Anolis sagrei: one gene and its partners. The protein of the gene in region 1 purifies or fractionates together with the protein of each later gene. This does not show direct contact. Links are inferred from orthologs where the notes say so. Each region holds a gene or a part of one and is shown in the gene's direction. Other genes may lie near its edges.

Region 1 (3,753 bases):
TATTTGTAGTGCAAAAAAATAAATAAAAATAAAAACCAAACAGTAACTAAAATGAAGAACATTTTTAACAAATATAAACTTATTAGTATTTCAATGGGAAGTGTGGGCCTGTTGTTGTTGTGTGCTTTCAAGTCATTTCAGACTTAGGTTGACCCTGAGCGAGGGGCCAGGTAAATGACCTTGGAGGGCTGTATCCAGCCCCCAGGCCTTAGTTTGAGGACCCCTGGCCTAAGAAGTAAGAAAGAAAAAGATATGTGGACATTGGGAGCATCTCTGAAAATTCCCTTTTTAAACTACATCTCCCTCAAGACTATAAACACAATAAAAATCAAATCAGTTTCTTGATCCAAATGGATTAAGTAATTTTTTTAAAAAAAACCACTAAATAATAATAATAATAATAATAATAAAACTTTATTTGTACCTCGCTACCATCTCCCCAAGGGACTTGGTGCGGCTTACATGAGGCCAAGACCACAGCACATCAATAAACAAAAGCGATAACAGTAATCAATACAAAACAGTTAAAATAAACTGCCAGGGAATCAAATGCTAATCACGGTGGTCAGTTGAAATGTTCACACCTAGCTCCAGGAGACAAGAGTCCTTTGTCTCACCCTGGTCATTCCACAGATATATAAACCCCTTTTTCCTAGTTCCAACAGACCTCACTACCTCTGAGGTTGCTTGCTAAAGATGCAGGCAAAACGTCAGGAGAAATGCCTCTAGAACATGGCCATATAGCCCAAAAAAACCTACAACAACCCAGTGATTCCGGCCATGAAAGCCTTCGACAATAGTTAAAATAAAACTCAAAAACAAAAAATACACAATAAGCAATAAACAATAACAATAACATACAGCATTTAAAAACCTATGTCCGGGCCAAATGTAATAATTTAAAATTTAAAATGCTGGGCATGAACAAGGTAGGGTGAACTAGGATAGGGTTTTTAAAGAAAGATGAGGGCACACAGACAATCCTAAATCAATATTAAAGTGCATTTGATGACATATTGCTAAGAGTTTTCCTTATTCTGGGAAGGCACACTGGAACAACCACGTTTTTAGGCTCCTCCTAAAGACTGCCATCATTGGGGCATGCCTGATGTCCTTAGGGAGTGAATTCCAGAGTTGAGGGGCCACCACCGAGAAGGCCCTCTCCCTCGTCCCCACCAATCGCGCTTGCGAAGGAGGTGGGGGCGCAAGTAGGGCCTCTCCAGATGATCAAAGAGACACAGGAAAATTCAAATCAAAACAAAACCCAAATCAATCAAATAACTGTATTAGAGAAATAGTATTGTGGCATCTTCAGGATGAATAAACTGCCACCAATAAAAGTTTAGGCCAAGTAAGATTTAGTTTTGAAGCTGCATCAGGGCTGAATGTATTTTACATCTTTTACATGACGTTGATTGACAGCTCCTTTCTCTTCTGGTCTGCTATATGAACAACAGGACTCATCACTTAAGCCTTGGATTTCACCTTAAACGGCCCCTACTTGTGGGACTACATTCTCCGGCATGCAACTGGTTACAGCGAGCATGCGCAGTGGCGCTCCAGCCACAGGCCTAGGAGCCTCCGCCTGGCTTCTGAGCATGCGCAGTGGCATCCATGCGCCCACGCCGCCTCGGAGGGTCCTGGACATCATGGCGGAGCCGGAGGTTTCCTTACAGACTAGTGCCCGGACCCCGCAGGCTGCCGCATCCTCCGCCGCCACCGCTTCTTCGGCCACAGCGCCGCCTGCTTCCTCTGGAGGCGGGTCCGGAGGAAGCAGCAGTAGCAGCAGCAGCGATCCGGTTCGCCCGGGATTAAGCCAGCAACAGCGCGCGAGTCAGCGTAAAGCGCATGCGCGGAGCTTCCCGCGGGCAAAAAAGCTCGAGAAGCTGGGGGTATTTTCAGCGTGCAAGGTACGAAGCCCCGTAGGGGACAAAAATGTGCGGAAATAATGCCTCCGACTTTGTGGTCCAGCCATAGCTGCATCCTTTATGGATGTAGCAAGGCATTGATTAGGGTTTTTGGTCGCCTTGTTCTCCGACGCTGAGCGCAAACAGCACTTAGATTTGACATTCTGAATATATGCAGCCAATTGTTTCAGGGACTGGTAAAGAAGTTGATGTGGCTATCAGAAATTATGGGAAAACATTGAAAAGCAAATGTCCATCTCTCCAATTAGTTCATATGTATAATTTCTGTCAGATGTGTTGGCCTACATTCTTGTCAATGGGTGTCACGTTGCCAGGGCTCTGCCTTTACAGAGGCAGAGATGAACCAAACAAAAACCCAGTCTGTATAATAATAATAATAATAATAATAATCTTTATTTATACTCTGCCACCATCTCCCCAATAGGGACTCGGAGCGGCTTACATGGAGCCAAGCCCGGACAACATATTACATCAAAATAAAACCAAAACATAAACAACAAGCAACATTATCAAAATTACATTAAAAAAAACAAAACAAAAAACATATGAATATAGTAACAAAATAACATTACAATAAACACATTCGCAGTAACAGTGGGCGGGCCACATGTACAGGATAAAATGTTCAAAAACTCTAATGAGATAAAAATAGGAGCAAGTTATTTGCAGGGAGCTCATAAAGACACACAGGGTTGTGAAACTAAACTTCCCATTTGGGGAGCGTGTACTCCAGTGGCAGAAGCATTGAGGGGAGCAATAGTGTCATGTTGTGCACCTACTCGCCAAAGGCGCAGCAGAAGAGCCAAGTTTTAAGGTTCTTTTTAAATGTTTCTAGTGTAAAACAATTTAATTAAAACAGCACTTACTTTCAGGCTGTTTTAATAGTCCAAAATATAAAACATAAAGATAGCACTCAGCCACAGAATAAACAAAAACAGCAAACACTGTTCCAGGTTCAAGCTAACTCTGTAGTCAAAGGTCCAGTCCAGTGGTTAAACGCCGAGAATTCAATAAACAAAGTCCAGGGATCAAAAGTCTACCGTAGTCAACAGCCAGTCCAAAGATTCAAGGTTCCAGGATTCTAAGAGTTAAGGAGACAGGTCGGGATACCGAAAATCCAGAGACCTGGTGGAAAATCAGCAGCATCCACCACCAAAATATGACAATTACTTTGCTCTCGAAGATCAGTCCCAAGGCTAGCTCCTTATATCCAGAAACACCCAGCTGCAACGCATCCCTTGCATACCTCCACCCTCACTTGCTTTCACCCATGAACTCTTACTTACAGATTACTCAACCCTTTAGAAATAAGACTTACATTAATCCTTCCATCACCAACTGCTAGGCCTACCACCACCAACCACCATCAACTGCAGAACATGATACATGACATTGGGTCATGTTTACTTGTGTAATTACATTATTTATATTCCGCCCTTCTCACCCTACAGGGGACTCAGGGTGGATTACAATGCACATATACATGGCAAACATTCAATGCCATATAAACATACAACATGTATAAACAGACACAGAGACATTTAACATTCCAGCTTTTCCAGCTTTATGAGGGTATGCTCGATTCCGGCCACAGGGGGAGCTGCCGCTTCATCGTCTACTTGTGACACCGAGTCCTTTGATGGAGTACTTCGTTATTCTTCTGCACACTGCTGGAAGGTTTTATGTCATCATAAATTAATTTAGCCTCCTCACATAAAGCAGTACCCAAATTTCCTACTTGACAGATGCAACTGTCTTTCAGGCTGCATAGGTCGACAGCAGGCTAGACTATTTTTTAAAGAATAATTTTTATTAAAGGACTTTT
Region 2 (3,753 bases), on another chromosome or scaffold:
GGGAAAATATTGGGTGCTTCTTTCTGTCTCGCCAGGGCAACGAACTCTTTGATGAGTCTGATAGGCCTCTTGGCAAAGACCCCTAAATTCTTGCTCGATATCACTTCCCTCTATTGTGCTGAATCAATTGAGTGCAAACTACAGTGGGCTCTCCATATCTACTGATTAAAACAGTTTGAAAATATTCCATCTAAATCGAAATAAATCAAGCAAACCTTGATTTTACCATTTCATGTAAGGGGGATTTTATCACAGGCAGAGGAAGCTGAAAGACTTTGTGAAACTACAATTCCCATGATCCCACCACAGCACAGAGCTATAAGTGTCAAACTACATTCATTCTCCAATGCAGATGCACCTCAGATCTCGAGTTGCTAGATAAAGGTTTTGCCCTGACATTAAGTCCAGTCGTGTCCGACTCCAGAGTTGTGACTTCCAAACTAAAAGAGCAGACCCAGCGGAGGCAGCAATTCTGACTCTTCTACAGAGAAACCGGATTGGCGGCAAACGAGGGAGGGCGGAGACTTTGACAAACCACCACGGGGGCCGCCCCTCGGTGGGCGTGCCCACCCTGCTCCGCCCTCCGCTTCTCATTGGCAGAGCGCCGTTCCCTTTTCCGCCGCTCGAGCCTCATCCATTGGTCGTTCCTCCAGCACGTTCTCTCCGTCCCCAGCGGCGGCCGCCTTAGCCAACCAGAGGGCGGCGGCGCCGTTATCAATCTCTCCCCGCCGGCCAATGAGAGCGCCGCTCCCCTTCCGAGGCCGAATGTTGATACGCGGGAGCCGTCCAATGGGAGCGGCGCTGCCGGGCTCGTGCGGCTTTCGCGGCAAAAAGGATTTGGCGCGCAAAGGCGTGCGAGGCCGGGACCAGCTGGGAACAATAACAGAGAAGCGGGATCGGATCGGATCGCGGCCTGCGAGCGGGTTCTCCGGGGGATGCCCCGGAGCGGAGCCTTGGCTGGCTTCTCCCTCCTCGGCGGCGGCAGCAGCGGCGTCGTCGTCTCTTGACTCGGAGGCGATGGGGCGTGTTCCTGGCCGCCAGCCCCCGGCGCCCGGAAGGAACCCAAAGGAAGAAGGGGGCTCGGCAGAAAGACAGGGCGCTCGCCCGCTTTGCTGAAGGGGCGCGGGGCTTGGGGCGGACGGCGATGTGACCGCAGGGCCGCGTCTTGGCGGGAAAGAGGCCCTCCGCTCCCCTCCCTCGGACCATGTCTCTGGGAGTGGCCCACAGCGTGGCCGACCTGGAAGCCCTGCTGCGGGGCGCCGAGGCCATCCACGTCGTGGACCAGCAGATCGTCATCATTTCCACCCCGGACCCGCTGCCCGCGCCCCGCAGCGAGGCCGAGGCCGCCGCCGCCGCCGAGCTGCTCCTCTTCGCCACCCCGGAGGCCGCCGCCACCAACGCCACCGCCGCCGCCGCCGCGCAGAGGCCTACTCCTTCTGCCGCTGCCCTGGAGCGCCCGCCGGTAATAATCCAGCCTCCCCCGCGCTTGCCTCCGGGGAAGCCAGGGCTGGCCGGGCAGAGAGGCGCCCTCCCTCCTCCTCTTCCTTCTCTTCCTCCCCCTTAAAAAGGCCCCAATGCCCCTCCGGGCCCAGACTAAAGAGACACAAATCAAGATATATATATCTATATCTATATCTATGTATATACATTTGAGGGGGAGAGGGGGGTAATCCACCATGTTAAGGGGAAAGGGCACACTTCCATGCTGGGAAAATGGCCTTTTGTTAGGGCTCCATGAGGCCTGGTTCCTGAAGCAGAGCCTTTTTCAGGGTAATGAGACTCAGGGCCCTTCCTCACAGCCTTATATCCCAGCAGATCAAGGCAGAAAACCCCACAAGATCTGCTTTGAATTGGAATATATGGCAGTGTGGATTCAAATAGCTCAGATCTTGTGGGATTATCTGCCTGAGTGATATGGCTGTCTGGTAAGGCCCTCAACTTCAAAAGTGTACGATTGCTATTCATAAGCTTCAAAAGAGTGTGATTGCAATATTCAACCCCTTGCTGCTCTTAATAATAATCATAACAATGATACAAATGGCCTTTTGTTAGGGCTCCATGAGGCCTGGTTCCTGGAGCAGAGCCTTTTCCAGAGTAGTGAGATTTAGGCCCCTTCCACACAGCTGGATAAAGTCCCACATGGTCTGTTTTGAACTGGGATATTTGGCAGTGTGGGCTCAGATCACCAGTTCAAAGCAGATATTGTGGGATTTTCTGCCTTGATATTCAGGGATATAGAACTGTGTGGAAGGGCCCTACATTTCAAAAGTGTACGATTGCTATTCATAAGCTTCAAAAGTGTGTGATTGTAATATTTAATAACTATAGTAATGATACAAATGGCCTTTTGTTAGGGCTCCATGAGGCCTGGTTCCTGGAGCAGATCCTTTTTCAGGAAAGTGAGACTTAGGCCCCTTCCACACAGCTGGATAAAATCCCACATGGTCTATTTTGAACTGGGATATTTGGCAGTGTGGACTCAGATCACCCAGTTCAAAGCAGATATTGTGGGGTTCTCTTCTTTGATATTTAGTATTATAGGGCTGTGTGGAAGGGCCCTTAAGTAAGCTTCAAAAGAGTGTGATTGCAATATTCAGCCCCTTGCTGCTCTGAATAATAATCATAACAATGATACAAATGGCCTTTTGTATGGGCTCCACGAGGCCTGGTTCCTGGAGCAGATCCTTTTTCAGGACAGTGAGACTTAGGCCCCTTCCACACAAATGGATAAAATCCCACATTATATGTTTTGAACTGGGATATATGGCAGTGTGGACTCAGATCACCCAGTTCAAAGCAGATATTTTGGGATTCTCTTCCTTGACATTCTGGGATATAGGCCCTTCCACACAGCTGAATAAAATCCCACACTTTTTGCTTCGAACTGGAATATATGGCAGTGTGGACTCAGATCACCCAGTTCAAAGCAGATATTGTGGGGTTTTCTGCTTTGATATTCTGGGTTATAGGACTGTGCGGAAGGGCCCTAAATCACACCATTCTGAAAAAGGATCTGGTCCAGGAACCAGGCCTCATGGAGCCCTAACAAAAGGCTATCATTATAGTTATTAAATATTACAATCACACAGTTTTGAAGCTTACAGTATCTGCTTTGAAGTGTGATATATGGCAGTGTGGATTCCGATTGCCCAGTTCAAAGCAGATATTGTGGGATTTTCTGCCTTGATATTCAGTGGTATAGGGCCTGTCTGGAAGGGCCTTTAAGTCAGCTTCAAAAGTGTGTGATTGTAATGTTAAGTGTCTTCCTTGGATTAATAATAATCATAATAATGAAACAGTTGCCTTTAGTTATTGCCCCATGAGGCCTGGTTCCCAGAGCAATGTGGTGACACATGGGGCCCTGCCATACAACCTTAAATCCCACAATATCTGTTTTGAACTGGTTATCTGAGTCCACATTGAGATAATGTGGTATTTTCTGCCTTGATATTTTGGGATATAGGGCTGTGTGGAAGAGCCCTTAGGCCCCTTCCACCCAGCTGAACAAAATCACATTTTCTGCTTGGAACTGGAATATATGGCAATGTGGACTCAGATAACCCAGTTCAAACCTATTCATAAGCTTCAGAAGTGTGTGATTGTTATTTATAAGCTTCAAAGATGTATAATATTAATGACAAAAATGTTTATTTTATTAGAGCTTCCATGGGGCCTGGTTCCTAGAACAAATCTCTCAAGATGGAAGGGCTTCAAAACTGTATTATTACTATTATGAATAATGATAAAAATGGC
Region 3 (3,753 bases), about 29 Mb from region 1:
AGATATATAAACCCTTTTTCCTAGTTCCAACAGACCTCACTACCTCCAAGGATGCTTGCCATAGATGCAGGCGAAACGTCAGGAGAAAATGCCTCTAGATCATGGCCATATAGCCCGAAAAGACCTACAACAACCCAAAGGGGTTTGAGTTGTTCCTTTTGGCCCTTGGAACACCAAAACCAAATCATGTTCAGAGAAAATATATTACCATGGCTAATAGATAGCAAGGCAACAGTAATAAAAGCCATGATTGCTTGAATCAAGGAGCATCACTTGGGAGAAAATTAATTTTTCCTTTTTTTGTGTGTTTGGAAAGTTTATAAAAGTCAGGTTGCATTGGCCGGGAATCGAACCCGGGCCTCCCGCGTGGCAGGCGAGAATTCTACCACTGAACCACCAATGCATCTGTTGGAAAAAGCTGAAGATATAAATCTTTTTAGGGAGTAAAATGTATAATTATCATAATTATAACTCTTGCTAGCTATGGGTGTTTACCACAATGCATAAGAACTTTGTGAAGCAGCATTTCCTTATCTGGGGCATTGGTGGTTCAGTGGTAGAATTCTCGCCTGCCACGCGGGAGGCCCGGGTTCGATTCCCGGCCAATGCAACATGATTTTTTGAAAAAATATATATTTCATAACATTTCTTATTTTTCTTTAATTTCCTCCCATAATACATTTGTAGGTTATCCTGATTCTGCAACAAGTCAGGCTTTTTTTTTTTTTTGCAAGACCATTTTTCTGAATTGCATCATTGTCTCCTAAATTAAAGGTATTTTCCTTAAAATATCACTTTTTCCTCTTGGGCTATATTTTTTGTGCTAAGTAGCCTTCAACTGCTTTGTTTCGGAGCTTGGAGAAAAGTCCTCACTTTTTGACTACAACTCCCAGCATCCCCAGGGATTCCCAATCCAAAAATAATAATTTGGGAATGTGGCTTCTGACTGTTGCAACCTGGAAAAGTAACTTTCCCACGCTAAAGAGAAAGAGCACCACTAATTAGGTATGAAAATTCGCATTCTCTAAGACAAAGTGTAATTATGAGTCTTGAAAAATCCCTTTTAAACTTCCTATTAGGGAATGAATGGCAAGGAAATGGGCTTCACTTTCACCATTGCGCATGCTCGATATTATTTCCGGCTTTGGGAGATGCCGCTTGCGCATGCTCAGCTCAGTGCTGCAGCGGTTCTTCTGCGATGTCGGCGTGCAGAGAAGGGGCAGTTACTGGGACTTCACTTTCACCACTGCGCATGTTCTGTAATACTTCCGGGTTTGTGTACCGACTACGCATGCGCAGTGTGCTGCAGCTGTTCCTCGGCGAAGGAGGAACATGCAGTGAAAGGGCAATTGTTGGAGCTTCACTTTCATCATTGCGCATGCTCGATATTACTCCCGGCTTTGGGTGCCAACTGCGCATGCGCAGTGGGCAGCAGCGGTTCTTTAGCGATGGCGGCAATGGAGGCGAGCAAGATGGCGTCTCCTAAGAGCGCTCCTAAAGATGCTCAGGTAAGACTGGAAGAAAGATGATACTGAGCGATGACGGTTGTCTGGCCCGTTTGGCTTTTCGTAGTCGCTTCCTAGGGAACATATTTGGCTACCTGTATTAAAAAAAAACCTCTAAAATTAGAACAGCACAACAACAGAGAGGAAACAAACAAGGACATCTAATCACCTCTCAACAAAAGATTGCTCCAGGCACAGCCAGGCCATTATATGCTAATCAAGGTGGTCAGTTGAAACATTCACACCTAGCTCCAGCAGACAAGAGTCCTTCGTCCCACCCTGGTCATTCCACAGATATATAAACCCATTTTTCCTACTTCCAACATACCTCACTACCTCTGAGGATGCTTGCCACAGATGCAGGCGAAACGTCAGGAGAGAATGCCTCTAGACCATGGCCATATAGCCCTAAAAAACCTACAACAACCCAGTGATTCCGGCCATGAAAGCCTTCGACAAAAATCCTTTGTCTCACCCTGGTCATTCCACAGATATATAAACCCTTTTTCCTACTTCCAACAGACCGCACTACCTCTGAGGATGCTTGCCATAGATGCAGGTGAAACGTCAGGAGAGAATGCCTCTAGACCATGGCCATATAGCCCGAAAAAACCTACAACAACCTACTGTTTATTTATTCCACATACCGTTTTAGGGCCTTCCTTTTTGGCAGGGCTCAGTGGAATAGAGAGATTCTTTTTTTCCAAGCTTATTTTCCTGCAGTTCAGCAGTGGAACTCTTTGCTGCGGAGTGTGGTGGAGGCTCCTTTGGAGGCTTTTAAGCAGAAGCTGGATGGCCATCTGTCGGGGGTGCTCTGAATGCCATTTCCCTGCTTTTTGGCAGAATGGGGTTGGACTGGATGGCCCATGAGGTCTCTTCCAACTCTAGGATTCTGTTATGAATAACTTTCCCACGTTATTATTCTCTTCCAATAATAATAATAATACTTTAATGTATTGTCTAATCACCTCTCAACAAAAGCTTGCTCCAGGCACTACCAGGCAATCAAATGCTAATCAAGGTGATCAGTTGAAACAGTCACACCTAGCTCCAACAGACAAGAGTCCTTTGTCCCACCCTGGTCATTCCACAGATATATAAACTCGTTTTCCTAGTTCCAAAAGACCTCACTACCTCTAATGGAGCCCCCGTTGGCGCAGTGGGTTAACCCCCCCCCCTTTTTTTGTTGTTGTGTCAGGAGCAACCGCTCCTGTTGTGAGAGAATTGGCCGTCTGCAAGGACGTTGCCCAGGGGACGCCTGGATGAATTCTAATGTTTTAAACCCCTGTGCCGGCAGGATTGAAGACCGACAGGTCGCAGATTTGAATCTGGGGAGAGGCGGATGAGCTCCCTTTATTAGCTCCAGCTCCTCATGCGGGGACATGAGAGAAGCCTCCCACAAGGATGATAAAACATCAAAAATCATCCAGGCATCCCCTGGGCAACGTCCTTGCAGACGGCCAATTCTCTCACAACAGGAGCGGTTGCTCCTGACACGACAACAAAACTACCTCTAATCACATCTCAACAAAAGTTTGCTCCAGGCACTGTCAGGCCATTATATGCTAATCAAGGTGGTCAGTTGAAACATTCACACCTATCTCCAGCAGACAAGAGCCCTTTGTTCCACCCTGGTCATTCCACAGATATATAAACCCTTTTTCCTAGTTCCAACAGACCTCACTACCTCGGAGGATGCTTGCCATAGATGCAGGCGAAATGTCAGGAGAAAATGCTTCTAGACCATGGCCATATAGCCCGAAATAAACATCAACAACCCACTGTTTATTTATTCCACATACAGTTTTAGGGCCTTCCTTTTTGGCAGGGCTCAGTGGAATAGAGAGATTCTTTTTTTCCAAGTTTATTTTCCCGCAGTTCAGCAGTGGAACTCTCTGCCGAGTGTGGTGGAGGCTCCTTATTTGGAGGCTTTTAAGCAGAAGCTGGATGGCCATCTATCGGGGGTGCTCTGAATGCCATTTCGCTGCTTTTTGGCAGAATGGGGTTGGACTGGATGGCCCATGAGGTCTCTTCCAATTCTATGATTCTGTTATGAATAACTTTCCCACGTTGGAAGAGAATAATAATAATAATAATAATAATGAAGGAAGACTGCCTTTTCTAGATGTCCTAGTTATCCGCAAACCAGATCAACAATTGGGTCACACCGTTTACAGAAAACCCACACACACGGATAGATATCTACATAAAAACTCCAACCATCACCCAAGTCAAAAAAGAAGCACCA

The links.
Region 2: the proteins of KAT2A (region 1) and E2F1 purify together in Homo sapiens (affinity purification with western blotting; 4 studies listed by BioGRID and IntAct, with this or other methods). This does not show direct contact. The link is inferred for Anolis sagrei from reciprocal best matches to the Homo sapiens genes KAT2A and E2F1.
Region 3: the proteins of KAT2A (region 1) and TAF9 purify together in Homo sapiens (affinity purification with mass spectrometry; 7 studies listed by BioGRID, with this or other methods). This does not show direct contact. The link is inferred for Anolis sagrei from reciprocal best matches to the Homo sapiens genes KAT2A and TAF9.

Annotation. Positions count from the first base shown.
Region 1 is NC_090026.1:36,358,460-36,362,212, reverse strand, and holds the start of KAT2A (histone acetyltransferase KAT2A), read left to right. Parts: upstream 1-1,598; coding exon 1,599-1,910; intron 1,911-3,753. UniProt on the Homo sapiens protein: Protein lysine acyltransferase that can act as a acetyltransferase, glutaryltransferase, succinyltransferase or malonyltransferase, depending on the context.
Region 2 is NC_090024.1:209,386,913-209,390,665, reverse strand, and holds the start of E2F1 (transcription factor E2F1), read left to right. Parts: upstream 1-756; 5' UTR 757-1,204; coding exon 1,205-1,462; intron 1,463-3,753. UniProt on the Homo sapiens protein: Transcription activator that binds DNA cooperatively with DP proteins through the E2 recognition site, 5'-TTTC[CG]CGC-3' found in the promoter region of a number of genes whose products are involved in cell cycle regulation or in DNA replication.
Region 3 is NC_090026.1:7,440,898-7,444,650, forward strand, and holds the start of TAF9 (transcription initiation factor TFIID subunit 9), read left to right. Parts: upstream 1-1,412; 5' UTR 1,413-1,448; coding exon 1,449-1,508; intron 1,509-3,753. UniProt on the Homo sapiens protein: The TFIID basal transcription factor complex plays a major role in the initiation of RNA polymerase II (Pol II)-dependent transcription.